Bombyx mori: one gene and its partners. The protein of the gene in region 2 purifies or fractionates together with the protein of the main gene of each other region. This does not show direct contact. Links are inferred from orthologs where the notes say so. Each region holds a gene or a part of one and is shown on either strand. Other genes may lie near its edges.

What was found.
Region 1: the proteins of dynein axonemal assembly factor 10 (region 2) and T-complex protein 1 subunit gamma purify together in Homo sapiens (affinity purification with mass spectrometry; 3 studies listed by BioGRID and IntAct, counting the BioPlex papers as one, with this or other methods). This does not show direct contact. The link is inferred for Bombyx mori from reciprocal best matches to the Homo sapiens genes DNAAF10 and CCT3.
Region 3: the proteins of dynein axonemal assembly factor 10 (region 2) and DNA-directed RNA polymerase II subunit RPB2 purify together in Homo sapiens (affinity purification with mass spectrometry; 3 studies listed by BioGRID and IntAct, with this or other methods). This does not show direct contact. The link is inferred for Bombyx mori from reciprocal best matches to the Homo sapiens genes DNAAF10 and POLR2B.

What each region holds. Positions count from the first base shown.
Region 1 is NC_085127.1:10,941,921-10,952,510, reverse strand, and holds the end of T-complex protein 1 subunit gamma, read left to right. Parts: coding exon 1-116; intron 117-714; coding exon 715-883; intron 884-1,624; coding exon 1,625-1,717; intron 1,718-2,632; coding exon 2,633-2,747; intron 2,748-4,128; coding exon 4,129-4,304; intron 4,305-5,172; coding exon 5,173-5,298; 3' UTR 5,299-6,299; downstream 6,300-10,590. UniProt on the Homo sapiens protein: Component of the chaperonin-containing T-complex (TRiC), a molecular chaperone complex that assists the folding of actin, tubulin and other proteins upon ATP hydrolysis.
Region 2 is NC_085131.1:9,114,639-9,126,091, reverse strand, and holds dynein axonemal assembly factor 10, read left to right. Parts: upstream 1-3,960; 5' UTR 3,961-4,062; coding exon 4,063-4,346; intron 4,347-4,428; coding exon 4,429-4,556; intron 4,557-4,904; coding exon 4,905-5,122; intron 5,123-5,884; coding exon 5,885-6,007; intron 6,008-6,946; coding exon 6,947-7,059; intron 7,060-7,980; coding exon 7,981-8,188; 3' UTR 8,189-8,696; downstream 8,697-11,453. Other genes in the region: CXXC-type zinc finger protein 1, read right to left, coding at 1-161, 419-523, 1,012-1,138, 1,396-1,559, 2,435-2,556, 2,627-2,653. UniProt on the Homo sapiens protein: Key assembly factor specifically required for the stability of axonemal dynein heavy chains in cytoplasm.
Region 3 is NC_085110.1:13,223,310-13,234,495, reverse strand, and holds the start of DNA-directed RNA polymerase II subunit RPB2, read right to left. Parts: upstream 3,214-11,186; 5' UTR 3,074-3,213; coding exon 1-3,073. UniProt on the Homo sapiens protein: Catalytic core component of RNA polymerase II (Pol II), a DNA-dependent RNA polymerase which synthesizes mRNA precursors and many functional non-coding RNAs using the four ribonucleoside triphosphates as substrates.

The DNA of each region.
Region 1 (10,590 bases), on a different chromosome or scaffold from region 2:
CAGCGTCAATGTGAAGAAATTATTGCACTTAAACCAGATATTGTCTTTACCGAAAAGGGAGTTTCAGATCTTGCACAACATTACCTTGTTAAGGCTGGAATTACTGCTATCCGCAGGTATGTATTTTCACATTGTATAATATGTGAATAAAGCCTTCTTTGTTTTGTTTCATTGTGACTGATGTGCTGCTTTAATAAAAGGGTAGTAATAATTTAACACATTTTTGGAGGTAGTAAGTACCACACTAACTAGTGGTATCTCTTATTTTGAGCATGCTATCATTATGTCTTGTAACTATAAATAATACTATGTCTAATAATAATGTAATGTAGTAATAATAATGTAATGTAGTAATAATAATGTAATGTAGTAACAATAATGTAACTATAACACAGTAAATCACCATGCTTTCTGATTATAAAGATATTCTGGTACATTTGACGCATGTACATTCTGGTACATTTGAGACTATGACTTGATAGATGACCTATGTGGAGGGTGCAGTGAGGGTTTGAGGTTTATGCAGATCATAAAACTCACACACTCGTAACCACTTAACATTCAATCAACTATTTCCGCTTTGTGAGCAATAAACTAAATTTTCGATATGATTGGATAGAATTATTGAGTTCAGTTCTGTATTTGCCATTACAGTATTGAGCAGACACCTTTAAAGTTTTATTTCTCAGTTTAATTAATTGAAAATCATTCTAGACTCCGTAAAACGGACAACAACCGTCTAGCGCGGGCGTGTGGAGCAACAATTGTCAACCGTACTGAGGAACTCAAGGAATCCGATGTCGGCACTGGAGCTGGACTGTTTGAGATCAAGAAGATCGGAGATGAATATTTCACTTTTGTCACTGAATGCAAGAACCCCAAGGTACTAAATTAATTATATTTAAATCACTAATCTGCTCACATTCTGCTGTGATTATCATTACTTGTATGTAAGACATAGATTTCTTGAAACTATTCACTTACCACCTGTCATGTCTTGGTACTGTAAAATAATTATTCCCTGAAGTACCAGCTACAGCTACCAAGTCTCAAAACAATTGAAGAAGTGCATTAAGAATGTATGGAAGAAAAACACACAAACACTTAAATAGTAGATGTTATTACTACTTCATCTTTTTTTTTAAAATAAACTCACTATTAAACAGTGTTTAATATGTTTGGCGATTCTTAATGCATCAAACATGATAACAGTGAGTGTTAAATTGTCTGGTTAAATAATAAAGGACGATGACAACATTGATGTTGATGTCTGTGGGTTGCAATCCCTTAACATGAGACGAGAGCTCGTTCACCTATCTAAACAATAAAAAAGAGCATCAATGACCTACTGAGGACAGTGCAGCGTAAATTACCTTGATTAATAGTATTGTTGTTGTTGTCCTAGGATACCCCGCTAGTACATAGGGCTCTCACAAGTTGTCTCCACTTTACCCTGTCTTGCGCTTGCTCCTTGACCTGGAGTGATTAATAGTATACCTAACAATAATTTCATAGTATTACAATAATAGTTTAACGATATGCATTTTCTCCTCTCAACTATTAAAATGAATATAGAAAATGAGTAAAATAAAATGGAATAATAATCTAAAAATACATTTTGAAGGCATGCACAATATTACTCCGTGGTGCTTCTAAGGATGTCCTGAATGAGATTGAAAGGAATCTTCAAGACGCTTTACACGTCGCCAAGAATTTGGTAAGTGTATTGACACATTATCTATCTACTGTATATGAATTTGCATTTTTTTTTCGAATCGTATATTCGATTAAGAAATCATTGGTTTAAAAAAAATACAATCTTTCTTATTTTATATAATTATATAAAGTCATTGTATGATTAAAAAAAGAGAGAACTAAGACATTTGGTAATTCCAATAAATGTCCACATTTAAAAGTATGATTGATTTTCAAAATGTAATACAAAACAAATATAAGTGTTAATTTATTATTTTAAATGCCCATTCTGTCCTAATGATTTTAAACAGAACTCATACTAGAGATACGTTATTAGTTAGTACTTAGGGTAAATATAATTATTTTGTGTACTTAAAATGAAGTTGTTTAATATTGTTATTCATTTTCTTACTATTGCAGAATTAATATCTATACATATAAATAAAATTGGAGTGTCTGTTTGTAATATTGAAATAGCCTCTTTTTACTACATACATATGAATATATATACGGTACATATACCAAAATAACATTTTTTACAATTTTTGTCTGTCTGTCTGACTGTTCCGGCTAATCTTTGGAACGACTGGACTGATATTGACGGGACTTTCACGGATAGGTAGCTGATGATATAAGGAGTAACTTAGGCTACTTTTTTTAGACTAGCTCCGCCCCGCGGCCTCACCCGCAGTTATTGTCGTACCGCGCCAAACATGGCGGGACTCGCCTATCAATAATAAAATTTAATGTTTCCGAAGCGAAGCGAGGGCGGGTCGCTAGTTATAATTAAAAAGGTTGTTTATTTTACCTTTTTTTTTACAGAATTTTTTGAAGTGGTAGAATTAAATTGCCCATATTATGATATCGATATATCCATCATGTACAAATACATAATGATGGTATTGAAATTGATTATAATATAATGTTGTGCGTGCAGGTGGTGTCGCCGCGGCTGGTGGCGGGGGGCGGCGCCGCGGAGATGGCCGTGTCCAGCGCGCTGTCGCACCGCGCCGCGCACAACACGCCCTACAGGGCCGTCGCCACCGCGCTCGGTACTAGCACCCCGCTGTATACCTATGCTTAGCTAATAATATATAGTACAGTACACTGTGAACGTGTCCATAACAACGTATGCGCTATGAAAGAAGCTTCAAGCGGCCTACGCACGACCCTAAAATCAGTGGCGATATCGGGACGGCAGTGGTGGGGATAATCGTCGTGAGCTCGCCCCAGCGATTTTTAGAGTTTATGGTAAACAATAAAAATCGGGTTACGATTTGATTATACACGAGGTGATTTAGGGTCTTCCCCACCACTGTCCCGATATCGCAACCGACGTTACGAAACATATTATACGACATACGATTTAAGGATCAAATTCAAATGACAAGCTATTATTCACTGGGCTGAAGCGGTGCCGTTGCAGTGCTTGCATAGTGTGCCATGACCCTTACTCAAACCTTTAAAGGCGGAAGATCCTCAAAACAACTGGCATATACAGATCTAATCAATCTGCTTAGTTTGATCCTCGCATATTCTGCCAATATCATGGCCGATTTTTATGAACTTCATTACGATCAGTGAATGATAAAATTATATTTACATTTTTGTATTGTAGATAATGCGAACACAACAATAATTCTGATTTTTTTCAATACTAGAAGTAAATAGGAAAAATTTAAGTTTAATATTTAGAATATGAATCTCTAGAGATTTTAATACTTGCAGGCTGCACTGCGCTCAGAACGTTACGTAATGCCAGAGTTCCGCGTGCTTAGTGCGAGTTTCTTAACGTTCTCGATGGCGTAAAAGTTAACCCAATTTTGTATGCAGTTGGAACAGCGCCCCTAGCGGCAAACGTACGCAAACGATTTCATACAAACATGAGTTAACTTTTACGCTATCGAGAACGTTAAAAAATTCGCACTGAAGGCGGTTGGCACATAAAACTTGAACTGACCATTAGAATTTGTATTTTATTTTTATTTTTTAAGGGATTTTATGACTTGGTAACTAAGACCTTTAAGTCATATCTTATTTTAATTTATATTCATAATTGTATGAAAAATGATAATATGGAGTGAAATGAAATGAAATAAAATTAAGATGATTAATTTGAGATCAACTGGGATGAAATGAAATGAAATGAGATGAGATGATATGGGATGAAATATAATCTCAGTAAAATGATGGTCGTTTACTGACATTTTTTCCAGTGGACTTTTTGGAGGATCCCGAGAAGTTATGTCCAGCGGCTTTGTTACATTTTCCCACATTTGTGCACTTTCACAGATATTAAACAGTTAATAAACCACCGTTATTACACATTTAAACCTGAAGAAACACTAAATAGACAAAATAAAACAAATCACACAACTTCACTACTCGCGTTCCCGCCAAAAAGTCTCTCGAATTTGTATAATTGTGTTGCAGAGATAATACCGCGCACGCTGGCGCAGAACTGCGGCGCCAACACCATCCGCACGCTCACGGCGCTGCGGGCGCGCCACGCCGCCGGACTCGCCTCCGCCGGCATCGACGGCGAGACCGGCGAGATCGTCGACATGGCCGTCAAGGGGATCTGGGAGCCGCTCGCCGTTAAACTGCAGGTCCGTAGACCACACCATCCTGCATCTATGCACTGTAGCCTTCCCGGCTAGGTACCGCGGTTCTGCCTACTTCTGCCGCGAATCAGTTTTGAGTACCAGTTTGAAGGCTGAAGCGGTCGTTTTACAATACAATTGAAACTTAACTTTAGATCTTAATAGCTTTATCATCAAGACGTCAATAGGGATCAAAATTATTTAAGTTGTATGCAATAGACGCCATATTCAATGAGACAGACAAAATATATAACTAAAATGAATACATATAATGACTTACAATAAACAAAAAACGCCAACGCTTCATAACAATTACTATAGTGTATATCAAAATAACAAATAGGTCGCCAGGTTTTTCTCCCATTTTTATCGCAGACGAAGCCTATACGGATCTCCTAAGAGCTTTTTTTTTACCTACCTACCTGAGAGCCTTGAAAGGCTATTTCAGCGTAACCTTAACTAGTAGGTGAGCTCACGGGGCTCAAACCTGACGACGATGCTAACGCGAACCCTAGCAAGAGCCGTGCTTCGCAGAATCTACCGCCGGATCGGAAACGCGACCCACTGAGAAGATCCGGCGAGAAACTCAGTGGGCTGTGTCTGAGGGTTAATTTACTCGTCAAGCCCTTCGTCGCAAGCAACTGGTTCGACGAGAACGGTGACCGGTGACCTCCTAAGAGCGAGTGATCACCGTTCCTTATTAAAATGACAAATGCCATGCCGTTGCCTAACACTTCCTTAATTTGTTCGTTTGTTTCATGAGCGGCGCTCTGATACAATTAGCCTCCGAATACACGATGAATACGACGAATCTTTTATGCTATTAAAAAATGAAACATTAAGATATAACATTAAAATGAAATTCGTACTGCAGGTGTACAAAACAGCCGTCGAAACAGCGATCCTGCTGTTGAGGATCGACGACATCGTGTCGGGCTCCAAGAAGAACAAGAACAACGAGCCCGCGGCGCCGGCCGAGATGGCCGCACAAGAAAACTAACTTACATAATATTATTAGCATTTAAGCTCGCTTTTGGGACTAATCTTGACCGTAGTTCAGCAGATGTCATTCAAATTACACGGTCTTGGGCAGTCTGTTCTAACTCTTCCCACGTCATACCCAAGACCCCTAGCTCCTGCTCCACCGAGCAACGCCAAGTTGCTCTGGGGCGGCCTCTCTTCCTTTTTCCAGACACTTTCCAGGTCAGTGCTCTCTTTGATTTATAGATTTGGAGAGAACTTAACGGTAGAAAGCGGCCTGGTTCTGCTCCTGGCATTGCTGAAGTCCATGGGCTCTCCTCTGCCTACAAGGGCCATAAAAAATATCTTTTTCTTACCCTTATCCCAATATCCAAATATATTATGTCTTTTGAATATCAATTTGATTTTTTTAGTTTAAACCGACCAAATTGTGAGTTAAATTGTCAGTCAGGATAATTAGTTTGTCATCGGTGTTGTTTTTTTTTCATTAATTCAAGGTTCACAGGAATTCAATAAAATATTTTTAATGTTACTTTCAGTTCTAAGTTCAGTAATGTGAAAACCGATATGAATTGTTATATTTCGATCAGTTAATATTTGATTTATGAGTTTAGCAAATATCATGTTCAAAAATTACTTAGTCTTGTTTTGACGGATTGAGTGTGCACTGCTGAAATACGTTAAATTTTGACACTGGCAACATTTCATCGACAGTTCAGCCGAGAATTTCAAGTTATGTCCCAAAGGATTTAGAATTTCTATCGCTAGCTAACTATTTGTTTAATAATCTTAACTACGGGAAGTGAGACCGATCACAAATGCTTGTCTTATATTTTTGTCTTATAATTACAATGTCTTATTTATGATAATGTATTTTGAAAAAGTTGTCTTTTTTTTTTCGGATTATAGTTTAGTTTTGTCTGGCGCTGACTAGTGTTAGTGTCGTCAGCACCGTGAGCATTTTATTTTCTTGGAATCTTAATATGTAACAAAAGTATTAAACATTTTATAAACTAAAAATTTGTTTTATTTATGAACCCTTGAATCGATAGGCAGCAACTTTGCTCTGTTGCCGAAATTGTAAATGTCTTTTTGTTTACCACTTCTAATTTCCCAAATTTGTGGTAGGGGTAAATTCACATTGATAGGAACAACAATCCTATGATTTGATTGAGTGTTTTAGTAAGTGGGGTAGACACCCAGTGGTGGATTTACACTAGGGGCAGTCGGGGCAAGTGCCCAGGGTGGCAAAATTTTGAAAATAAAAATATATTTTTTAGTCTGATATTGCTCAATATAATCAATTTATTAATAATTTTCTGTTTATAAATAATTTTCTGTTTAATTGATAATTCAACAAATTCAGTTCATTCATTATTTGTGAATTATAATTTTGGCACTTTTGGAAAAAATAATAATCAAAATGATTTAATCAATTTATTTTCTTGGAAATTTAAAATAACTAATGTTCCCGCATTAGTCGAGATTCGACTATAATTAATTGAAATTATATGTTTCAACAGACTACACTATAGACAAATACTCGTAATATTAAAGATAAACAATATTAGCCTATTCTCAATTTGACTGCAGACTTTATAATAACAAAAGTTTGACAATAAACTAAGAGTATATGTTACTGTGTCAAAGACATGGTAGTGTAATGTTTTCTTTATTGGTTTAATGTATCTTGCATTATTTCAAAAAGTTAGCATTGTGAACTTCTCTATATTCTCTATATGTGGAAAATTTCATACTCCTCCATCCGCGCATTTTTTGTAAAAAGGGATACAGTTTTTGCTTCACGTATTAATGAATAGATAATAGATTTTTCTATTTTCTGTAATTTAAGAAATTTAATTAGTTTTTTATGTAAAATTATTAATTATGACCCACCCTTAGTGCCAAATTTATAATTGTTTGAAAAAAAAAAAAACAAATATTTATTTATGTTTTTGGAATATATAACATAAGTTTCTGCAATAAAGTAGTTATTGTTATTTTGAAAATTAAAATATACTTAATTTATACTACAACTTTAGGTAAAATTCCAGTATTGGGGCGGATTTTTTTCCGGTCCCCAGGAGCGACATTAAGTTTAAATCCGGCTCTGTAGACACCATTGGAGTAAAGACGATTTCCACTTTGTGTTTTAAGAACGATGGCGACATTCCCGATGCGATGTCTAGGGCCCTGTGACCCCTTATGCAAACGCAAATGCAAAAAAAAGCAAATGTTTTCCAAAAATGAGTTGCACATGAAATTAATTGAAAAAAATTAAAAGTTTTCATAAAGACAATAACTCAATCTCAATCATCAATCAGTTTTTCAATCATCAGTCATGAAAAGTAAACTTTAAACTAGTCGATTCGTATTTTATCACACAAGCGTTGGTCTGTTGACCAAAATTCAATAAGTCGCTGACAATTCAAGTTTTAGATTCATTTTATGTACCTATTACATATTTTCTTTATTGTTTAGATGGGTGGACGAGCTCACAGCCCACCTGGTGTTAAGTGGTTACTGGAGCCCATAGACATCTACTACGTACATGCGCCACCCACTTTGGGATATAAGTTCAGTCTCAGGTCTCAGTATAGTTACAACGGCTGCCCCGACCTTCAAACCGAAACGCATTACTGCTTCACGGCAGAAATAGGCAGGGCGGTGGTACCTACCCGTGCGGACTCAAGGGGTCTCATCAGTACCAGTTTCGCTGTTGTTTTTTTAATTGACAATTTAGATAAAAAAAATACAATTTCCAAATTTTTTGGTGACAACATTAAACAAAATAAGTAAATGTGTTGACTAATAGAGAAAATCTTCGACGGGAGAAATGTCGCAACTGCATTTTAGCCTAAATCACTTTTTACCATATTATATTTTAAATATGATTCTGGTGTAAAGTTGAGTTTTTTAAGTTTCTTTCATCGTTGTGTTAATTTTGTCCTTACTTATTTTAAAATTTATCTAAAGCTTTGCTGTATTATTTATCTCTCTTATCGTATTATTATCAGAATTAGTTATGGTGTAAATGTGGGAACTAATTAAAACAAGGCAAACATTAATTAACAGGAAAGGATGGTCTGTGAGCGCGGCTCGCGATGGGGCGACACGCATCGAGGCTGTATTGTCCAAAACAGATAATCCAAAAATGCTGTTATTCGGACATGTTTCCATTGTCTACGCGATATCGCAGCTCCGAGAATCGCCATATAATTTGGGCTGTTATAGGTACAACAGGCGAAAGATTGATTTAGGCAAAAAAATCAATAGGTTAGTGTATTATTTTATTATTTATTAGTTACATTTATTAGGGGATACGAGTACACGATCTTGGCCATCTACAGCTAGAATGCAATTTAATTCGTGTGTAGTGGTAACATCATCCAAATTAACCATCCTAAAGGAGCTGCCTTTGAACTGTTAGGCGTTCTTCGGAAGCGCTCGGTAAGTAGTTAGCAACATACCCCATCCTTATCACTGAGTTCGTCAGCTTCAGGTCCGAGTTCAGGTGTACTGTGCATCGGCAATGGTGGGTATCACCGTCCTATAGGTAACTAAATAGAATTCCTTACGTTCCAGTGTGAACGTACTGAATTGCTTTCGATTACAAATTTCGTTTTTAGTGTCACTGTGTGCTTAGTGCGAGTTTCTTAACGTTCTCGATAGCGTAAAATTAAGCCAATTTTGTATGCAGCTGGAATAATGCCCCTAGCGGCAAACGTACGCAAACGATCCCATTCAATGCAAGAGTTAACTTTTACGCTATCGAGAACGTTAACAAACTCGCACTAAGCACACCTTCGATCAATAATTATTGATCGAAGAAGCACACTGATCAAATCCTTATTTATAAATGTGCATTGTAGTACCTAAAATATTCGCACAACTTTTTTAAAAGAGCACGTTTATTTATGATGATTTCTATCATTCGCCAGCGGCATTAAGGAAATTGGTACTGAAAATTTAGAAGAGTTTCATGTACTACGACACCGTTCAACCCAAAAACTTTCAGTTTCTTATTAGTGCATTTGTTATACCACAAAAGTAGAAAAACGTATGTATCACTTGTGCATTACCTACGATACGTGAACTTTCACTAAATACAATGGAAACACGAATCAATTGTGTTGACAAACAATAAGTTCACAACGCGTGACGAGTGATTGACTGGGTGCCCTGGCTAAGTCGATTTGGTGTTTTACAACATTGCGGAAGGCATCTCTGAGCAGACGGGTATAGGAATATGCAAAAGTAAGTGATAACAAATTATTTGCAAATGTTAGCTTTATCTATGATGTCATAGATTAAATTATAAATGTTGAAAAATAAAAACATATTATATTTAATTTAATTATGGGATTTTTCGCGCTAAAATTCATTTTTATTATAAATTAAATAGATAACGGTAAATTGCACTATATGGCCTCTACGAATTATTGTACTTATTGTGTCAGTGATTCATTGAATTTTTTATATTATTGTAATAATGTTATATAGTTTATTGTGGGTGTATTTCATATCGCCTCTTCCAAGAGCGCCATTGAAATCATTTTGGATCTATCTGTTAACACTGTAAATCGAAGAATACAAAGGCTAAGAGCAAAAATATTTTATTTCGTGCACATCTCTGGTACGTGCTCATTTTACGCCTTTGGTCTAGAGTACTGGTGAGTGTCCCTGACACACTGTGCCCGAGTTTGATATCCGGTCGAAGCCAGTATTTTCGTTCAAGTTACTTGGTGATCGGAATCTGGATGTGCTTGCCCTTGTCTCTCTGTCATCGATCGCAGAGGAGTAAAATCTCAACTAAATTAGGAAGTATATTACTTTAATTAGAACTACTCTTACCTACTACTTAATCTCGTGTTTACTATTTTTGATGTCCCGACAAATTAATAATTTTTTTTTGCGATTTTGCTCATAATATGTGCTCAGCTTAGTAATTTATTAAAGTAAAATGTCTTAAAAAACCTACCTAAGAATATTGTGGCTTAATTCATGAAAAAAATTAGCATCATCTGTTATATCCGTTCGCCTTTCCCTTCTTTTCTATTAATTTTTTGTCAACTTTGTTTTTTGACACAAATTACACATACAGACTCCCCTCAAAATACTTACAAGATTGATAACTTATCAGTTCTGATACATAAACCCGTACTCGTTGTTAAAAATGTGAGAGTTTTCGGTTATTTTCACATGATTTACTTTGCATTTGCGTATGAATAAAAGGTACATAATTTCCTAAATGTTTATTGTATTTCACAACACGGTGAACTCTACATTATAGCCATCAGTGTTGCCAGAT
Region 2 (11,453 bases):
TTATCCCGCACTGTGAGGAGCAGTACTTCGAGGAGTACCGAGCGGGCAACGTGCACTGCGGTCCGTAGCACTGACGCGCATGCGCCGTCTGTAGATGCGCCAACGATTCTTCTGGCTCATACGGTTCACGTTCATGATGCTTCTTCTTTATTCTGCTACTGCTGTTGTCAATTTCATTTACAATTTCAAAATCCGTCAGTTAACTCCAATACTTTTATTTCTACTTATTGCTCATACATCAGTAGAAGCTCTGAGTAGTTCCATTGAAGTATGTCAGATGGCAAGAGTATTGTTTCAACAGAATATGACATAAGGTTGTTATATTATGTTTGTAGCTTAGTTACAGCAAAGCAGAGCCCTTTTAACAGTTATATGCGGAATCAATAATATTACATTTTTAAAATCTAGCAATGCTTACCTGGGTGGTTTAGAAGATTTTTTACTTTTAACACAAACTCTCAATTTGCACCTGAACTTTTTATTAGCACTTCCATATTTGAACATCTCCTCACATGCATCACAACTGCAATGAAAACCATTATAGTGATCATACATTTCTGTACGACAAAAGAACAATGGGAAAATGTTTGGAAACAATACTGTTATGAAATGAAACAAAAGATTGTATCTGTTTATTGTATATGTAAATTTTCTTGAATTAAATCTAAATATTTACTTTAAATGAACAATGTTTGGGTACAATTCAGTTAACTTAAAGTGTAACAAAAGAAATCCAAATTTTTGATCAATATTTATATCTTTTAATATCAATTTGTAAAAGTTAGAAATTTATATTGATTAAAGCACTTTTTCATGTAGAAAAATGAGTAATCACTATATATACACTATATATACATACTTTGCATTAATTCATTTCTTCAAAATTACTATTTAAAAAATTACAAAGTGAATGTCTGTCTATGATCTATTGATAGCAATAGCATCTTTTTGTAGTGCTGTTGGTAGATACTGCAGTAAAAATCCGATAAATGGGGCATGAGGTATACTCACTGGCCACAATCGTAATCTTGTAAGCAACCAGGGCAATCTCCACAACCATCTTTTATTATAGTTCTCTTGGAAGATTTATTTTCCGAATGATCCTTTTCTTTCCGCTGCTTTTTTCGATCATCTCGACCTACAAAAGAAACACGGTACAATAACAAAAACGTTTTATGTTAACTTTTATTTTTTAATGGCTTTCGGTTTCTAGTTTTATTCAACCAATATGTGAGTCACGGTTCAAATTGATTGAGAGATAAAAATCAATCATACTTCATACATCTATTTTAAGGTAATGCAATGCTAGGATTTAAATTTTATTATGCAGTCCTATCATACAATACTAATAAATGTAGCAGTATAGAAAAAACTAGACAAAAAAAATATTTATACCAGAATCAACCTCGTTTTCTCTTTTTTGTGGTCTGAACCTTGTCTTCAAAGTCGGATCTTCCTCTCTACATCGGTCACAGAAGTAATTCTTGATGTACTTTGATTCTCTCTCAGAAATGTTGATACAATCACCATGATACCATTCCTCGCATGCATCACATGCTCTGAAAAAAAAAAACTTTTTTACTGTATACCTAAAAGGTTTTAAATAATAGTTAAATATCAGCAGAATATATTTCAACTACTGAGTTACATCAATGTGGCCAATTGAACAACCACTGTCTCATTGTCACAGCATACAAGATTCAGTATGATTTTCAGTCATCAAATTTCCTTTATTTACCTTTTACTTACTTTTTGTAATACTGTAACTGTGATAAATTTTAAGACATATCTTAAATGAATTGGTGTTGTGTCATTCTTAGTTGTGAACTCAACATCAAATCTGTATATATTAATTAGAATACATTTAAAAAAATGTTTTGTTTCCAAATACAATTTCAACCAATTACAATAAAAAAGTTGAAATCATAAATGCCCAATCTTAGAAATCTTAGAATTTAACAAATCTAGAATATTCTAATGATAATTATCATCTAAATTGTGTACTGTCATAATGAAGTGTGATCCAAATAATGACCACATCCAATGTAATGATCAAATTTTTCATAAGTAAATATGATATTATAAACGTGAGCTTCGATTTGAAATAGTTTAAATTGTACTTATTTTGTATTTGTTATATTTATTATATGTGAATATAAAATTAGATTTGTCAGAATAAATATAAAATATTCAAAATATATAAGCCAATAGTGTAAGCTGTTCTATCACTTTTAACAATGTGTTTGATTTATGCTAATCAATGATGTTGATGTCTATCCATTTAATAATAAAAAGATACATGTCGAAATTCATTCAAATACACATCATCTTACCAACATCTTGCTAATGAAGTTGTATTAACGCAATGGTGAGTGTAGTGTTGTCTAATACACTGCAGCATTGTATAAAATCAAATATATTAGGAAAAACTTACATCATAAATCGCGAACTATCCGAAGATCGACAAATGCAGTACGCTTGTCCAGCTTGATTCAGCAATGTTGTAATTTTGGATTGGCGTTCAGGCAAGTCGAACTGCTTAGCAATGTCCGCTTTCTGGAGCAAAAAGATATTATTTACTAGATACATTTGATTTCTATAGGATTTACATTTCACTAACACTTACAGATTGTCTCGACTTTTTATCACCCATTGTATTCCCTTTATTTCAAAACCGATTCAATGACACTAACAACTGCTAGCACCCAAGGAAGTTTTTATTTTTTATTTAACAAATTTTATTCTTTTTTCAAATAAATAACTTCATTCATTCTTTAGACTCGTAATTTTTTTTTCAATTTTCTTTTCATTTCCTCATATTTTTAGAAAGTTATTGAAATATAAAGTTTGGCCACAATTTTCCAAGCTATAAAATTGTCGTTTGACACATGGGATAATCAAAGTTGAGAATTTGATTGAATGGTCTGTTCCAAAGACAAAAAGGGCCCATAATGCCAAGTCTATTGTAACAAAAAATCGAACTGAAGGACGGAAAGTGATTTAAAAAAGAAGAAAGATTTTTCAGAGGTTTTAATCAGGTTAAAATTTGAAATGATAATTCAAGTATTAACCTTTTAGTGTCTCTAAAACTTATGAAGGGTAGAAAGAAGTAAGGAGCACCATCTTGAGTAGGGGAGAAGCTGAAAAATGTTAGAAGATTACTGGTGGTAGTACGTCTTATGAGTCCGAACGGGTAGGTACCACCATCCTGCCTATTTTTGCCGTGAAATAGTAATGCGTTTCGGTTTGAAGGGTGGGGCAGCTGCTGTATTGTTCCTTACAACTCATGTCTCGAGGTGGGTGGCGGCATTTACGTTGTAGATCTACGGGCTGCCGTTACCACTTAACGCCAAGTGGACTGTGAGTTAGTCCCCCATCAAGGCTTTATAAAAAAGAATAACTAAATTAGCGCTAGTCTAGGAAATGGAAATGATAGGAACATGGGAGGCTTAAGCAGAGTGAAGTGTGCTGGGTTGAAAATTTAATATTTTTTGAGACTTGCGTAAAATATTATATGGACTTTTTGGCGGGAACGCAAGAAGTGAAATTGTGTGATTTGTTTTATTTTGTCTATTTAGTGTTTCTTCAGGTTTAAATGTGTAATAACGGTGGTTTATTAACAGTTTAATATATGTGAAAGTGGACAAATCTGGGAAAATGAAACAAAGCCGCTGGACGTAACTTCTCGGGATCCTCCAACAAGTCCGCTGAAAAAATCTCAGTAAATGAATGACCACCACCATTTTACTGATATTTCATCCCACATCATCTCATTTCAATTCATTTAATTTCATCCCAGTTGATTAATGTCTCAAATTACCTAATCATCTTCATTCACTCCATAATATTTATAATTTTTCATAAAAATAAGAATACTAATTAAAATAAGACATGACCTAAAAGTCTTAGTTACCAAGTCATAAAATCTTTTAAAAAAAGCAATATTATGTGGCCTATGATGCTGTTGCCTAGCAACCAAAAACCAATGCTGTCTGTCACGTTTGTTTTCGCTAAAGATTCGCATAAACCTTTGAATATTTCTTTTATATCTATTTTTAAGTCATGGAAGAATTGAATACCCCCCAAATAATTACCCATATTGAAAATAACTTAAACCATTCACTATTTGATTGCAAGTGGATACCATGTTCGGCTAAATTTATAGTACTTGGTTCTTTACCGAAAGGCTCGGGTACCATTGAAATATTTGAAATAAACGCCGGAGAAATTAAGAAAATAAAAGAAATTGAGAGGTCTAACTCGTTTAAATGTGGAACGTTTGGAGCAAGTAGCGACATTGAGAGACGATTTGCTACTGGAGACTTTAGAGGCACTTTGGAAGTATGGTTTGTAACAAAATCATAAAATCCATACTTTTTCCGGATAATCATAAAAATCGAATGTTAATAAATAATTTATTTTCTATAGGGACTTAGAAAAAGGTTCCCAAGTGTACATAACAAAAGAACATTCAGATATAATTAACTCAATAGATGGGATGGGAGGTAACACAACCAACTGTGGAGCTCCTGAAATTGTAACTGGCAGTAGAGATGGTAAGGTTTCATGCCAAGGATTATCCTGTTACATTAAAGGGTACTCGTGTGGTGATGAGTAGATTTTCTAAATCAATATTACAATACCTTCTAAGATTTGACTACCATTAGCCATGTTGACATACTGGGATAGTTTTTTTTTTATCCTCATCAGATTTTGATTTTGTCCAAAATATTTACAAATTTTATACACAAACCTTTCTCACACTTCTATTTATATCTTTGAAAATAGTATCAAAATTTGTTAAGTCATTTAGAATAAGTAATCAGAGAAACAGACATTGGGTTTAAAACTCTTTAGGAAAAATAAAAATGGTAGTGATAACATAATAATTACTGAAATTATAGGAACAGTAAAGGTTTGGGATCCAAGGCAAAGAGGTAAACCTGTTGCAAACATGCAACCAATGCAAGGTGAGACTAGAAGGGATTGCTGGGCTGTTGGCTTCGGAAACTCATTTAATGATTCTGAAAGGATTGTAGTTGCTGGTTATGACAATGGAGATCTTAAAATGTTTGATTTGAGAACAATGTCACTTAGGTGGGAATGTAATTTGAAGAATGGAGTAAGTATGTAATTTCAAGACTAAATTTAAGATTTTTATGTCACAACTCGCAATAGGCATATTATACAACATGCATGATAAAAAGTTGTTACTGAAACCTGTTAACATCAGTAAATACAGGGTCATTACTAGTTGTATAGTAGCAGTAGTTATTCACTTTAATCTTGTCCTAAGAAAGATGTGTTATATTTTTCAAAAAGTCACAGTAGTGGGGGAGGGAGTTCATTTTAATTTTAATGTGAGTAATTATTTAAGAAAACATCAACACAATTGAAGTAAATAAATTCAGTTAATCTCGAAATTTTTATCATTATCTCAACTGGTACTCTGATGAACAATGACTTGTTATTATCTGTGTGTGTTTTAATTCTTTGTAGTTTATGATATATCCTAAATTAGCTTGATAGGTTGTTTTGCAATAGAGATATATATTTATATAACTGGTGGTAGGACCTCATGTGAGTCCGCACAGGTAGGTACCACTACCCCGCCTATTTCTGACGTGAAGCAGTAATGCGTTTCGGCTTGAAGGGTGGGGCAGCCGTTGTAACTATACAGAGACCTTAGAACTTATATCTCAAGGTGGGTGGCGCATTTGCATTATAAATGTCTATGGGCTCCAGTAACCACTTAACACCAGGTGGCCTGTGAGCTCATCCACCCACGTAAGCAATAAAAAAAAAAATATATATATATATATATATTAAATTATATCTAAGTCAAAATTAATAGATAAATATTGAAGAATTTTTGTTTGTTTAGGTATGTTCCTTAGAATTCGATCGTAAAGATATTCCAATGAATAAATTAGTGGCAACCACACTTGAAGGGAAGTTTCATGTTTTTGATGTGAGGACTCAAAATCCAACTAAAGGATTTGCTCAGGTAACCTAATGTTTTACTGACCAGCAAGGAATGTCTTTGAGAAATAAATATGAAGATTGCATGCAATGCAGAGCATTGTTAAATTTGAATTTTCCTACCCCTGCCTTATCTATTTTTACCACCATTAAATCACATGTTCTGGTGTATACTATAGTACAGCTGTTGTTCCAATTTCTTTGAAAGTTTATCTACTCTATGTATTTGGCAGAATTCTTCACATTGCAGTGTCTGTTATCTCAGCAATAGATGGGCTGTATCTCTATTCATCAGAATCCATGGACCTTAATATATTAAAAGCACAATCTATAGTTACATCAGTTAATTTAAAAGTCGTCGTGGCCTAAAGGATAAGACGTCCGGTGCATTCGTATCGAGCGATGCACCGGTGTTCGAATCTCGCAGGCGGGTACCAATTTTTCTAATGAAATACGTACTCAACAAATGTTCACGATTGACTTCCACGGTGAAGGAATAACATCGTGCTATAAAAATCAAACCCGCAAAATTATAATTTGCGTAATTACTGGTGGTAGGACCTCTTGTGAGTCCGCACGGGTAGGTACCACCGCCCCGCCTATTTCTGCCGTGAAGCAGTAATGCGTTTCGGTTTGAAGGGTGGGGCAGCCGTTGTGACTAATACTGAGACCTTAGAACTATATCTCAAGGTGTGTGGCGCATTTACGTTGTAGATGTCTATGGGCTCCAGTAACCACTTAACACCAGGTGGGCTGTGAGCTCGTCCACACATCTAAGCAATAAAAAAAAAAAAAAAAAAAAAAAAAAAATAATTACCGTTCTTCCATAATATTCATGAAACAATGCTGCTCTTAATAAACTAAATTTATTAAACTAAAAGCCATACGTTTTGATTTTGAGTGATTAATTAATGTTATAGGTTAATTTTTAAAAATATATCTATCTCAATATATCTGTGTCCAGGTGGTGGATAATTCAACGAAGAGCGGTACGATATGGATTGCGCGACACATCCCTCAGAACCGTGACTTGTTTATGACGTGTGCTGGTAATGGGCAAGTCACATTGTGGAAATAGTAAGACTTTGATTTTGCCTTATGATCAGTTCAAAGTAGGACTTCCCGGTCATTGTTGCATCGGGCATCTACTACTGTAGGTTCATAGTTATAGTATAAAAATTATATCAGAAGCTTTCGTGTAGAAGTTTACTATAACTAAACATATATTCAATTGCATTGTACAAACACCGCGCAGAAGTATAGAAGATAAGCATTTTTTTATAGAAACTCAGGAAAAAGCAACACACGGTCATCTGTGTGCTTAGTGCGAGCTTTGTAACGTTCTCGATAGTGTAAAAGTTAACGCTACTTTGTATGGACTTGGAACGTCTGCCTACGTTTGCCGCTAGGGGCGCTGTTCCAACTAATTTAAGTTAACTTTTACGCTATCGAGAACGTTAAAAAACTCGCACTAAACACATTGGTCCCAAACATTCCTTGTTCTATGGCTACCAGATATACATACTTATTTAAATAGGTACTTCATAGATGTTAACCATCATTAAAGAGGAAACAAATCTGTTCATCATACAAATGTGTGTCCGACTCTGAGTCAATTAGCGATATATTAAATAAAGCGAAGAATAGATGGCCGGTAGTATGCCAGTAATTTCAACAAATCAGAGAGACGTATTCAACCAATAATTTCTCGCCGGATCTTCTCAGTCGCGTTTTCGATCCGGTGGTAGATTCTGCGAAGCACTGCTTTTGCTCATAGTGTTAGCAACGCCCCCAGGTTTGAGCCCCGTGAGCTCACCTACTTGTTAGGTTATGCTGACATAGCCTCCTAAGGTTATCAGCTTAGGTAGGAAAAAAAGAAAAGAGACGCATTATAACTGTTTAGCCGGCTTAGCGATATGTTTTGTAGCAAAGCAAGGTAGAGCTTCTACCTCTCTTTATTTTTGGCGTGGGTTACAATACACAATTCGTTTGTTACAGTGAATACCCGGTACAGAGGTTCCGGGTGGACACCGAGGGTGTAGCTATCGGAGTTCCGGGGAAGCTGAAACGTCTCCAACGCATGGTGGTGAGCTCGCAGCCGATCAACGCTCTGGAATGGAATAAAGACCACTTGGGCCTCGCCGTCGCCACCGCATACGATCAATGTATTCGAGTTCTGATCACCACTAAGTTGAATCTGCAGTGATTTGCTTTAGAAAGGCCGTTTTATTTGAACAAAGAAACGCGATTATTTTTGGCGTGTGGTCGGCAAACAGAGTCAGTAAACAGAGCTGGGCTGGCCAAGACCGGCCCCAGAACCCACACTGACTACAACACAGATGCCGTTAGCTTACAACACCCGAAGACAGTTCACGTTTCGATGGTTTTGGAATTCATTATTGTTTTTGCATTATGGGGTGAACGAACGGTTCGCCTATTGTTACGGGAGCCCATACACATGGCACCTTGAGACATGAGGTCGATGTCTCAGAAGCTTTGTATTACTACTGTCTCACTCTTCTAACTGGAACAGATATCTGTTCATGTTGTGGATGTAAGTAATTTAGTGTGGAACTCTTGATCTGATCAGACAATGTATTTAATATGTGCTGTGAGTATATTAAGTTGCTTAAGTTGTAATTTCATATGTTAATAGTAAATAATGATACTTTAGTTTTATTGTTTCTTTTTACGTTATTAAATTTTTTTAGTTATTACGTTTTTTACTGATGATAGGACCTCTTGTGAGCCCGCAGTGGTAGGTATGCCTATTTCTACTGTAAAGCAGTAATGCGTCTCGGTTTGAAGGGTGGGGTAGCCGTTGTGGCATACTGAGACCTTAGAACTCATCTAAAGGTGGGTGGCGGCATTTACGTTGTAGATGTCTATGGGCTCCGGTAACTACTTAACACCAGATGGGCCGTGAGCTCGTCCACCCATCTAAGCAATAAAAAATAAAATTATTGCGCATTAGGTATTCACTTGTGGCTTGTTATCGCATTTGAGATTGAGCACGAATAAAATTTTCAAGATCAATGTGAGGCTGGAAGAGTTTAAGACTGGCATCCCGTTAAAACATGAATTTCCTTTGTTGTTGTCTGCATCTGTGCAAATATTAATGGTTCTCCTTCGAATCGTCTTCATAACTGAAATATTCTCGAAAGTTAATTCAGAGCACAGCCCTCTATGGGTGACTTGTGCTTGAAGACTGGCGTAGGTTGGCCCTCAAAAGTTGGACAAACGACTTGTTGAAGGTCGTGCAAATCTTCTGGTTACGGGCGACACAGGACAAGTCATTGTGGCGGAGGACCTTGGCCCATGTTCAGCACTCATGTCCTTTTTTTTCCTACCTATGCTGATAGCCTTGAGAGGCTATTTCAGCTTCGCCTTGACGTGTAGGTGAGCTCACGGGTCATAAACTGGGAATATTGCTAACACTTGCCCTAGCAAGTGCAGTGCTTCGCAGAATCTACCACCGGATCGGAAACTCGACCCACTGAGAAGATCCGGCGAGAAACTCAGTGGGCTGTGTCTATGGGTTCGGCGCGGACGGTGACCGGGCACTGATGTGATGATGTCTATAGGCCGATGGGATTGAGATGGTCTTGATTTTTTACAAAAGTACCGCACTTTTTTACAAAAGAGATCAGGTCTAATAACGTGCGGGTAACGGTATATTGCGGTAGTAATTGTCACAAAAAATGTAGAGCAACAAATCCCACGCATTATGCATATTTCCTTCACGTTCATATCTGTTCTCATATTTGAAGATCCGACAATAATAACAAGAGTCAGTGCCGATAATTGAAGAAAAATATAAGAAAATAATCATCACGTCTCCGTCTCAGCGGTTTCTTCTTGCGCTACCTTTCTCTTTCGGTACGCGGGTGCGCGAAATATGCAAATTAAAATGTATTACATATTTTCAAACATTGTTAGGAAAACCGCGTGCATAAACAACAACATTAAGGTAACCGGAAGACAAACACCAAGTGAATTTTCTAACTCAAAGGAGCAATTTATTATCCTAGCACATAGGTATTATAAATAAAATTAAGGCTAGCAATCAGTTCTTATTACCGTAATAATAAGTTTTAAAATCGATCATTTGCGCTTTAAACGTAACATTGCAAACGCACATTACAAACAGATTTCAATACTGCTGGACATTTTGGTATGTACACACAAAACGACAGCTATTTCTGTTGTTTCATTGTATGCAGCATACATTAGGTTATCACAATGTTAGCTCAAAGCGCAAAGACGCTACATAATTAATTATAAGCGTAACTACATTGTCCACATAAATCTCAGTTTCTAATCAAAACTAATGATAAACATTCAATCATCGTAATAGGTGAATTAATTAATTAAACAGTCCATAATCGCGTCGTAAAACAAAGAATCACAAGATTTGAATAATGCACTTTTTATTAGCAGTAAGAAGCGTATTGCGAGTACGCGCGAGCGGGTGCCGCAGTCCCTCCTTTTGCTCCGGTTCGAGGGCGGAACTTTGATTCTTCGATTTCATGTTCTGATGTCTACAAGCTTCTGGTTACAAGGTAACCAAGTCGGCCACGAGCTCGCCGCATAGTTTAGCGCAATAAATAAAATACGAAAATAAATTCACAATCGACCCGTTTCAAGGTTTTATATCGATAATTGAACGGGAACTAATAGGAATTAATCCATGCGACCAGTTTGAGCCGAACGCTTGAAAACTTTTCCATCAGAAAAACAGGTCATAGTAAGGAAAAACAAAAAGTGTTACAATTTTTTTCCATTCAAAAAGAAATCACTAAAAATGTTTTTTTTTATGTTAAATCGACTAAACGGTGAAACTCGAATAGTATAAAAAACTAAATTTTACCTTTCGTAAGCTAACCACTACGCCTATAAAACTTACTTTATTTACATTTCGTTTTAGGACACCAAATACTAATCGATTTTATTATTAATAACAAATATCCTTGAAATTCGAGTTTAGTCTTTAAACTCAGTTTCCTAAATGCTTTTATTTCGATTTGATCACGTACATAAACCCCGAGATCGAAGCCTACAGTGTGCTTAGTGAGAGTTTTTTAACGTTTTCGATAACGTAGAAGTTAACTCAAATTTGTATGCAAATTTGCCTACGTTTGCCGCTAGGGGCGCTGTTCCAACTGCAAACAAATGTGAGCTAACTTTTACGCTATCGAGAACGTTAAAAAACTCACACTAAGCATACAGGTCCAGCCTACTACGAGCCTCTAACTCTTTACATGCAAACATTTACGAACGAAAAAAAAATAAAGCAGCTCTCGATATCAGAACCATAACGTCGGATCTACATTTTGCGACATCATCATTATTCGTATTCAATTTTGAATATTGTAGTTTTAGTACTATTTCAAAAAATTATATGTTATAATGGTGGCATTATCGAGTGCTACAGTAGATTAGGACATACATACATAAGTGTCCGACATTAT
Region 3 (11,186 bases), on a different chromosome or scaffold from region 2:
TACCACGTAGATGGTAACCATAATCTTGTAACAGAGATGATATTTTTTGCACATTTACAGCATCATTGAATGGGGTTGCATCACCGATCTCTCCCTTATTAGAAGATACTTTCCCTTGAATACACTCAATCAAGTGACCAATTGTCATACGTGAAGGGATAGCGTGAGGATTAATAATGATATCTGGTGTTATACCTTCGCAAGTAAATGGCATATCTTCTTGCCTGTATTGAATTCCACATGTTCCTTTTTGACCATGTCGTGAAGCAAACTTATCTCCAATTTGCGGGATGCGTACAGATCTGACTCGAATTTTACAAAATTTATAACCTTCGCTATTTAATGTTAACATTACTTGGTCAACAATTCCAGTTTCACTATTACGTAAGAAAGTGGATGCATCTCGCTTTGTAAATCGTTTTGTTGTACCTTCCAACTCATCATCATTTTCTGGCAAAGTTATAGTTTTTCCTATGACAACATCATCACCTGATACTCTAATACCAGGAGCAATAATACCATCATCATCTAATTTGTCATACAGAGCATTCCTCATACCCTGACATGTCTGTCTGGTTGGTTTTTCAAACTGTTCTTCTTGTTCTCCATTTCTTTTAGATTCAGAATCTTTGTATGAACGGTAAAATACGGATCTAAAGAATCCTCTCTCTACAGCAGATGCATTCAAAATAACACTATCTTCTTGGTTATATCCGGTATAACAAAGAATAGCAACAATGGAGTTAATTCCTGCTGGCAATTCTCTAAATCGTAAGTATTCCATAGATCTTGTCGTAACCAGGGGTTTGTGAGGATAATACAAAACATGAGCCAGTGTATCCATTCTAACATGGAAATTTGTGATATAAACTCCCATAGCTTGTTTACCCATAGCACTTTGATAAGTATTTCTGGGACTTTGATTATGATCTGGGAATGGAATAATAGACGCACAGACACCCAGAATCATTGCAGGATGAATCTCACAATGTGTATAAGTAGTACAATATGCATATTCTTTAACTTGATTCAAGTCATCTAAACTCATGGCAATCATCACAGTTTCTTCTTCCAAAGTATCAATATATTCAACTACTCCACTAGCCACCAAATTTTGCCAACCATAGTTATTGTAGTCCTTTTCTTTTAAATCATCTATGTGCTTCTTTTTCAACAATAAGACACCATTATTGACAATAAGTAATGGCCTACAAATTCTACCTGCATCTGTATAGATTCTGATTTCTCTGTCTCTTATATCTCTAATCATACTGACTTCAGAGACAATGATGTCCATATGACGTCTTAGTTTACGTAGTGTAGCCATCAACTGTTCAGGGTCCCTGTGTATTCCTACCCAACAACCATTCACAAATATCTTTGTGGCATCAGCTATAGCTGATGGTGCAATTTCTTCCAAGTTTTCCATTGACCATTCTTCCAAGAACTCCAAAATTGGTGAAGGTTGACTTCCTACTGAGATATAAGCCATTAATGCTAAATTCTTCACTAAGCCAACAGCAGCTCCCTCTGGAGTTTCAGCAGGACAAATCATACCCCATAAAGTATTGTGCAATTGACGTGGTTTAGCAAGTTTACCATCACGTCCAATTGGAGAATTGACACGTCTTAAATGGGATAAAGTAGATGCAAAAGTTAATCTGTTCAACACTTGAGATACTCCAGCTCGGGCCTGATGAGCTTTCTTTTGGTCACCCCAATTACCAGTTGCCAAAGAATAACGAAGACCATCAGTGATGATTTTTGTTTTGATAGCAAGTTCCAAGTTGAAATCTTTTCCTCTATCAATAAATTTTTGAGCATACATTCGGACTTCTTTTAGTAAATTTTTGAATAAGCCTCTAAATAGAAAAGCCAAAAGTGGTCCTGCTAAATCTAATCTTTTGTTGCCATAATGATCTCTATCATCCAGTTCTCTTCGACCCAAAGCAGCTAATAATAATCTGTGTACCATGTAGCCTAGAAAATAAGCTTTTTTTGTTTCACAAAAATCTGATACTCCAACATGTGGCAACATTTCCTTTTGTAAGATTTCTCTAGCATATTTAATACGTCTTTCTTTGGTGACACCTGGGCGTGCTCCTCGGCTTCCAATAAAATTGAGTGCTACATTTTGTTCTTGAATGACAAAAGCCTCATCAAGAGATGGCTTAACCATTTCCATCATTTCTGGATCATCAAAATCATATATAATGTGTTCCAATATATCTCTATCAGCAACAAAACCTAAAGCTCTGAATACAATCATTATAGGTATGTCTTGTTTGATATATGGGACAATTGCCATAATTCTTTGACCAATAGCAGATTTCTTTATATTTTGTCCTCCTCGAGCCATCATATTAACCCATAATGTAGATGTCGGTCTAGAACTATGTTCCAGACATGATCTTATTTCTGTTTTGTAAGCATATTTGCCATCCTTCATGCTGAATACATAGACAGTATTGGTAGCCATTTTTTCCTGTGCAATTAGTACTTTTTCTGATCCATTAATAATGAAGTAACCACCAGGATCTAAGGGGCATTCATTCAATTCTGACAAGTCACGGTCAGTCAAACTGTTTAGTAAGCAATATGTAGATCTAAGCATAATAGGAATCTTGCCAATAAATGTTTTCTGATGTTGCGTTTCAATAGGATCCTCATGTTCTTTCTCTATTGTTTTTGTAATATCAACATATAAAGGTGCCGAATATGTTAAATTACGAAGACGTGCTTCATTGGGCATCATGGGAGATGGAGCTCCATCTTTCTCCCAATGAGTAGGTTTAGATAAATAAATTTGGTCAAATTTAAGACGATATTTTGGTGGTGTTTCCATCTCACCAGAGAAATGTTGTGCTTCTGCTTGTAATTCTATGGGTGGAGAATCTTCAACTATACGTTGTACCGACATTTGAATAAATTCATCGAAGCTATCTAATTGCTGTCTCACTAGACCTTTTTCATCGAAATAAGCGTTGATGACAATCCAACAAGCTTCTTGCCAAAGCTCAGGTGTTATTTCCACATCTTCCTCTTCGTATTGATCATCTTCTGTATCATACATCTTCGCTAAAGCGAGTGTTGTATTTAAAAAATATACTGTAGGCTATTAATGGCCTTTCTGTATTTTCAATTGGAAAATATTAAAGCAAATGCGTCGTCGTCGCCTTTCCTAGGCTCTATTATCTATGGTAGCAAATATCATAGATTAAACACATGCAAATATTATGTGCTTAATGGCTCAGTGAATTTAGCCCCCTTTTTTATTTTGGATTTTTTTATATTTGTTGGCGTGAGGTGATGGTTTGCTTATTAGATATAAAATAATTAATAATTGAGAATTCAATTGTTTTTATGATCGAACAATCACCAATAGTCGTCAAACAAACGATAATTGATCAAAATTAATTAATCTGAGTGATAAAAATAAAGATATCTAGTAAAAGGAGCCAACTTAATGTGATCATTTGTTTAATTAATTATAAATAAATAAAAGACGAACAAAGATTTTTTACATATGAACATTAACGAACAAACAACGGACAAATAATTAAAAATAAAAAAATTTGAAAATCAAAAAAAGAGGGGCCAAATTCAGTGTGCCGTAGGTATAGATCATACACTTAATATTTAAGTTAGTAGGTTATGGCTCTGTAAATTTGGCCCCCTTTTTTTATTTTCGGATTTTTTTTATTTTTAATTATTTGTTCGTCGTTTGTTCGTTAATGCTCGAATGTAAAAATTGTTTGTTCGTCTTTTGTTTATTTATAATTAATTAAATAAATGATCACCGTTAAGTGGGCCCCTCTTACTAGATATCTTTATTTTTATCGATTAATTCATTTTAATTCATTTTGATCAATTATCGTTTGTTCGATGACTATTGGTGATTGTTCGATCATAAAAATAATTAAATTCCCAATTATTAATTATTTTATATTAATGTAATACCGAAATACTTCACGAGATGGCGTTACAAAAAATCCCTTCCCAAAACTATAAAACCGTTGTGATTGTCTACTGAATAGATAATATAATAAATAATATTTATTCGTAGGTGATTGTTTAAGATGTTATGAATATTTCAGTTTTGATTTCATCAAAATAACTTGAACTTTACTACTAAATTCCGAAAAAAATTTTAATTAAGGCTGAGTTAAATTTAGCTTTTTATTTAAGCCTCTTACTGTAGTTTTTGAATTACATTTATGCAGATTGACGTTTCAAAGCTTTCAGATTTCAATTTTAAAATCTGAAATAATTAAGAACAGCGTCATCCACCGTTCACATTTGAAACAGAATTTAATTCGGTTTAAATTTGTAAAAGTTGATGTTGATTATTATTACACTAATTAATTGAGCGTTTCATTAGCTTTTAAGCTGAGTGACTATATACTAGTAATATATTTTTATTCTATTGTCTATTTTTGTTAAGTAATAAATGAGCAAAAAATAATACTTAACTAAAAGATATGAAATCCGAACAAAAACAGTTTCACTGTAAAAAATTGCGCCAAGTCCACGTTTATAAAACTCATCTCAATAACATTTGCACTTTACAAAAAAAATAAGACTTCAATAACTTTCATTCTCTACAAAAAGATGTGAAATACAAAAAAATACCAAGAAACTCCTTACTCGAGTTTTCACCACAATTTAAGCTTGCTCTTCATCATCATCATTTACATCAACTTCGACTGGTATGTGTCATGCTGGCAATTTTCTTAGCCTATCATGTGGGTATTTGTAAGTAAGTTTTGAATTTAAAGCTTTCAATGTGTAACGGTCACCATCCAATACTTCAACTACTTTAAACGGCCTTTTAAACTTCGTATCTAATTTCGTTTGATTACGCTCTTCGATTTAATGTGTGGACGAGCTCACAGCCCACCTTGTGTTAAGTGGCTACTGGAACCCTTAGACATCCACAGCGCAAACGCACCACACACCTTGAGATAGAAGTTCTAAGGTCTCAGTATAGTTACAACCGCTGCCCCACCCTTCAAACCGAAATACACCACTGCTTCACGGCAGAAATAGGCAGGGTGATGGTACCCGTGCGGTCGATGGCACTCCATAGAGCACCCGTCTAGTGCCACGTCCGTACCCACGAGAACGTCGCCGCGCTGCGACGCCGGCAGCGCGCGATCGCAGTCAGAGTTATTCGAGGATACCTCACAGTCTCCTACGAGGCGGCGCGCCCTAGCGCAAGTGCAGCCGGAGCGCGGGGGCTCCAATCTCGGCAGTCCGTGCTGGAGGCGTGGTCTCGTCGTTTGGCGGACCCGTCGGCCGGCCTCCGTACCGTCGAGGCGATCTGCCCGGTTCTCGCGGACTGGGTGGGCCGCGACCGCGGAAGTCTCACCTCCGGCTACCTGTGCAGACTCACAAGACATTTTACCACCATGCAAACTTCTTACCGCAACAAATCTTATCCGCCACTACGCAAACTACAATTTTACGGGTTCCACCTCTCCTATCATCTCAAGTCTTCGGTTTCAGGTCTTCGACACAAAACATTAAGTAAAATTAAATATTGTCCAGTCCGTACATAAACAATAAAAACCTAAATGTCGTTGTTTTTAGTCTTTAATTTTAAAGTAATCTGTTTGTAGATGGGATAGTCCCAAGATTAGTGTGGTACAGATTGCCCATAGCTTGACAAGCTTGCCCAGCACCAGTTACACCAGCCCCGCATGTGTGGCATATACCTGTGGAAGTTAAAAGTAAGTGATGTTTAAACGAGTACATTTGGTTTATTACAATAGTAATTATGTAACATGTTGCTCTCACTCTCATTTATCAAATGCCAATTTAATTTCATGCCACTAATTTCGTAATGTAAATTCGCCTTTATGATTTTTTACCTTTATTTTTATGATTTAGTACCAGCGGCTAGCTCCAGCCGCCTGCACCAGCCGCTTGCACCAGCCGCTTGCACCAGCCGCTTGCACCAGCCGCTTGCACCAGCCGCTTGCACCAGCCGCTAGCTCCAGCCGCTTGCACCAGCCGCTTGCACCAGCCACTAGTAGTACGAAAGTAACACGATTACGAGAGATGCGCAGTAAACGAAGAAACGATGCGTACTAAATGTTATTGTTTAAATTTTATTATGAACGACTGGAGGGTAGTTCGCGGACTGTGCCACCGTTCACTTCAACGTCTGCTTTTTAACTAAGTAATAAATAGTAGTAGTGGTTAAAGTGTGATAAAGTAGTGATAAATAAAGGAACAATACTAAGAACCACAGGAACAAATGTTTTCTTATTGAAAGAGTGCGTAAACAATACAAAATCTATAAAAATATCAAGGAACGCGCAACTGACATTTATATCCATTACTCTAAGTGTAAATGATCTAAAACTCGTTAAGTGCAGTGAAGGGGACATAAATAATCATTAAAATCGTTAAATTGTTAAATAGTGAACACAAGGATTCTATTTAATTTATTTTTTGCATTTAACCTAAAATAAATATTATTCGCATCGTCACACAAATCACCTCGTACAAAAACGTTAGCGCCACCTAGCGTGAGTAGCTGAACTCTCAAGATAAAACTCGATAAACTGGAGATAACATCTGCTATAAGCAACGTAGTTCCAATACTATCCACAAGATTGTATTAGTAGTACTTTGAGGTATAAAAGTAATGGAAGAAATTAAAAATATATTAAGAAGCATGCAAGAAGAGATGAAACAACAAAAAGCGGATATGTTAGATATGAAGGAGGAAATAAAAAATACCATTATAAATAATATGAATGAAAAATTTCACAGTCTTGAATTAAAGACCGAGTTACTTGAACAACAATTAATTCTAATTCGGCAGAAAAAACAGATAACATGGAGAGATTGAAGAGAAAGAGAAATCTGCTCTTTTTCGGAGTCGAAGAAGGTGAAAGGTCATATCAGGATCTGTTGCAAATTGTGCTAGAAATTATAAACAAATATTTAAGCATTGAATGCAATGAAAACAGTGTTGAATTTGTAAGGCGAGTTGGAAAAAGAGGGGAAAACACGAGACCCATTGTAGTAACATTGAGCACTATGGGGTTAAAAATAAAATTACTTAAAAATAAGAAAAAACTGATATCATCACCGGTTTACATAAAAGAAGATTTCCCCCAAGATATACTAAAAAAACGCAGGGAGCTTCAAAGCGATTTAATCAAAGAAAGAGAATCCGGAAACAGGGCAATCATAAAATACACAACTTCACTCCTCGCGTTCCCGCTCAGACACAAAGTGTCTGTCGGACTTTTTGGCTACCCTGCCGTGAAGCAGTAATGGCTGCTGGTGCTAGCGGCTGGTGCAAGTGGCTGGTGCTAGCAACATGTGATAGCGGCTGGAGCTAGCGGCTGGCGCAAGCGGCTGGTGCAAGCGGCTGGTACTAAATGCTGGCGCTAACGGCTGGGGCTTGTTGCTGGAGCTAGCGGCTGGTGCTAGTTGCTGGAGCTAGCGGCTGGTGCTAGCGGTTGGGGCAAGTGGCTGGTGCAAGCGGCTGGAGCTAGCGGCCGGAGCTAGCGGCCGGAGCTAGCGGCCGGAGCTAGCGGCCGGAGCTAGCGGCCGGAGCTAGCGGCCGGAGCTAGCGGCCGGAGCTAGCGGCCGGAGCTAGCGGCCGGAGCTAGCCGCTGGTACTAAATCATAAAAATAAAGGTAAAAAATCATAAAGGCGATTTACATTACGAAATTAGTGGCGTGAAATTAATTTCGTGACATTAGTTTTACCAACAGTTTCACGTGTAATTTAATACTTTCGTAATGCATGCATTAATTTCATGCATGGAAATTAGTTTCGTGCCCTACGCGATTTTTTGGTGAAATCATGCAACTAATAGTGTAGACGCGACGTGAAACTAATGTCGCGAAAGGGCCTGCGCTGTGCGGACGTGTGTATTGTTAGTTCGGACGCGCTTCAAGCGTTGAAAATGGCAAACCAACGATGGAGTACAGATAAAAATATCAGCGATAGAATATCAGCGACAAGGGTGTCTCTGGGACCCGAAACACCTACAGTAAAAAAGCAAAATTATATTCACTCATTCGATAATAGTTTTTATAGCTCTCAGGATCTTCATCTGCTAATTCAGAGACTAACTTCATTGCACCTGAATGCCTTCTTGTTGATCATCCTCGAATCTAATAACTTTTTTTCTTGATAGTCTTTTTTTAAGTTTATAGGTATATAAGCATTTCTTTAGCTACATTGAATATAGCATATAGCACAGAATATAGCTTTGATGCTGTTGGCGCCATGGTTACTGCGATACTGTGGATTTCGCGACACTAATTTTTTGACGAAATTACTTTCGCATATATCGAAACTACTTTCGTGAAACTGAGCTCAACATGCATGAAACTAATTTCGTAATGTAAATCCCGCATAAAGGTAACATATATCATAACTCGAAAACTATCAAAAATCGCGGAACATACATGGGGGTGATTCGGATACCCCACGACACGAGAGACCTAAATTTTTTTTTGGACGTATAGGTCGAACCTGTATTTTTTTTTTTTTTTTTTTTATTGCTTAGATGGGTGGACGAGCTCACAGCCCACCTGGTGTTAAGTGGTTACTGGAGCCCATAGACATCCACAACGTAAATGCGCCACCCACCTTGAGATACAAGTTCTAAGGTCTCAAGTATAGTTACAACGGCTGCCCCACCCTTCAAACCGAAACGCATTACTGCTTCACGGCAGAAATAGGCAGGGTGGTGGTACCCACCCGCGCGGACTCACAAGAGGTCCTACCACCAGGTTTACTTAGAACATGCTCACGAATGACTTTGATTATGAAGGAATATCGTGTTACTTAAACGAAATTCGCAAAAAATATAATTTACGTAATTACTAACGGTGGAGGGCTCTGTGAGCTCGCACGGATAGATACCGCCGTCCTGTGTGCTTAGTGCGAGTTTGCAACGAAAACGACTTAAAAACCTGCCTATTTCTGCCGTGAAGCAGTAATGCGTTTCGGCTTGAAGGGTGGGGCAGCCGTTGTAACTATACTTGAGACCTTAGAACTTATATCTCAAGGAGGGTGGCGCTCTTACGTTATATATGTCAATGAGCTCCAGTAACCACTTAACACCAGGTAGGCTGTGAGAGATCGTCCATCCAACTAAGCAATAAAAAAAATAACCCGTTGAGTTAGTTTCTCGCCGGATCTTCTCAGTCTTCTCAGCGTTTCAAATTCGGTAATAACTAGATTCGGTGGTAGATCTTGCTAGGGTTTGTGTTAGCATCACACCGGTTTGAGCCCCGTGAGCTCACCTACTTGTTAAAGTTACGCTGAAGTGGTCTCTCAAGACTATCAGCTTAGATAGGAAAAAAAAAGCACTTGTTAAGTGAGGCTTTAGTAAGGATTATCACTTGATCAGTCCAGCATATGGAGCTTCGTCCACGAGGTATTTTATCGACGACCTTACCTTGAACAACAAGCTTCTCGTTAGATTCTGCCGATTGTCGGTTTTTGTACATATATCCTTTAGGAGATGTTCGAAATGCATATAATTTGAATATCACTAAATTCATATTGAACTTCCCGCATACAATACTCGTATTAATAATTACAAATATGTATATGGGCTATATGCCAAATCGACCACTTTTGCGTTCGACCCCTTTAGATTCATTCAGCTGAAACTTTATTATTCTTTTCTACCCATTGAAAAACATTTTTGAGAATTTTTCAAATTTTTTGAAGCCAACGTATGCATACGTATCGACTCGTAAGTAGTTTGTATAAGCGAACATAAGAGGGTGTTTAGTTCAAATCATAAATGATGAGCGGGAAATTAAAAAAATTCGAATAACATACGTATGAGATGTCGATTTTACCTAGCTTCTGTAAAACTTATTATGAAATAATAATTCATTACATTTATGCATTTCATAGGTTGACCGACTTACAAATTTCTAAACATTGAAAGGATGTTCATTTATCCTGAAAATTTGGGGTACTCAATGACGTGCGCCAAGTACGATAATTTTTTTTTTTAATTTTTTTTTTTTCAACATTATGATGGTTTCTTGGTATTTTTTGTATTTCACATCTTTTTGTAGAGAATGAAAGTTATTGAAGTCTTATTTTTTTTGTAAAGTGCAAATGTTATTGAGATGAGTTTTATAAACGTGGACTTGGCGCAATTTTTTACAGTGAAACTGTTTTTTTTCGGATTTCATATCTTTTTGTTAAGTATTATTTTTTGCTCATTTATTACTTAACAAAAATAGACAATAGAATAAAAATATATTATAAATAGTCACTCAGCTTAAAAGCTAATGAAACGCTCAATTAATTAGTGTAATAATAATCAACATCAACTTTTACAAATTTAAACCGAATTAAATTCTGTTTCAAATGTGAACGGTGGATGACGCTGTTCTTAATTATTTCAGATTTTAAAATTGAAATCTGAAAGCTTTGAAACGTCAATCCGCATAAATGTAATTTAAAAACTACAGTAAGAGGCTTAAATAAAAAGCTGAACTTAACTCAGCCTTAATTAGAATTTTTTTCGGAATTCAGTAGTAAAGTTCAAGTTATTTTGATGAAATCAAAACTGAAATATTCATAACATCTTAAACAATCACCTACGAATAAATATTATTTATTATACTATTTATTATACGAATAAATATTATTTATTCAGTAGACAATCACAACGGTTTTATAGTTTTGGGAAGGGATTTTTTGTAACGCCATCTCGTGAAGTATTTCGGTATTACATTAATATAAAATAATTAATAATTGGGAATTTAATTATTTTTATGATCGAACAATCACCAATAGTCATCGAACAAACGATAATTGATCAAAATGAATTAAAATGAATTAATCGATAAAAATAAAGATATCTAGTAAGAGGGGCCCACTTAACGGTGATCATTTATTTAATTAATTATAAATAAGCAAAAGACGAACAAACAATTTTTACATTCGAACATTAACGATCAAACGACGAACAAATAATTAAAAATTAAAAAAATCCGAAAATTAAAAAAAGGGGGGCCAAATTTACAGAGCCGTAGGCTATCCCATCTACAAACAGATTACTTTAAAATTAAAGACTAAAAACAACGACATTTAGGTTTTTATTGTTTATGTACGGACTAGACAATATTTAATTTTACTTAATGTTTTGTGTCGAAGACCTGAAACCGAAGACTTG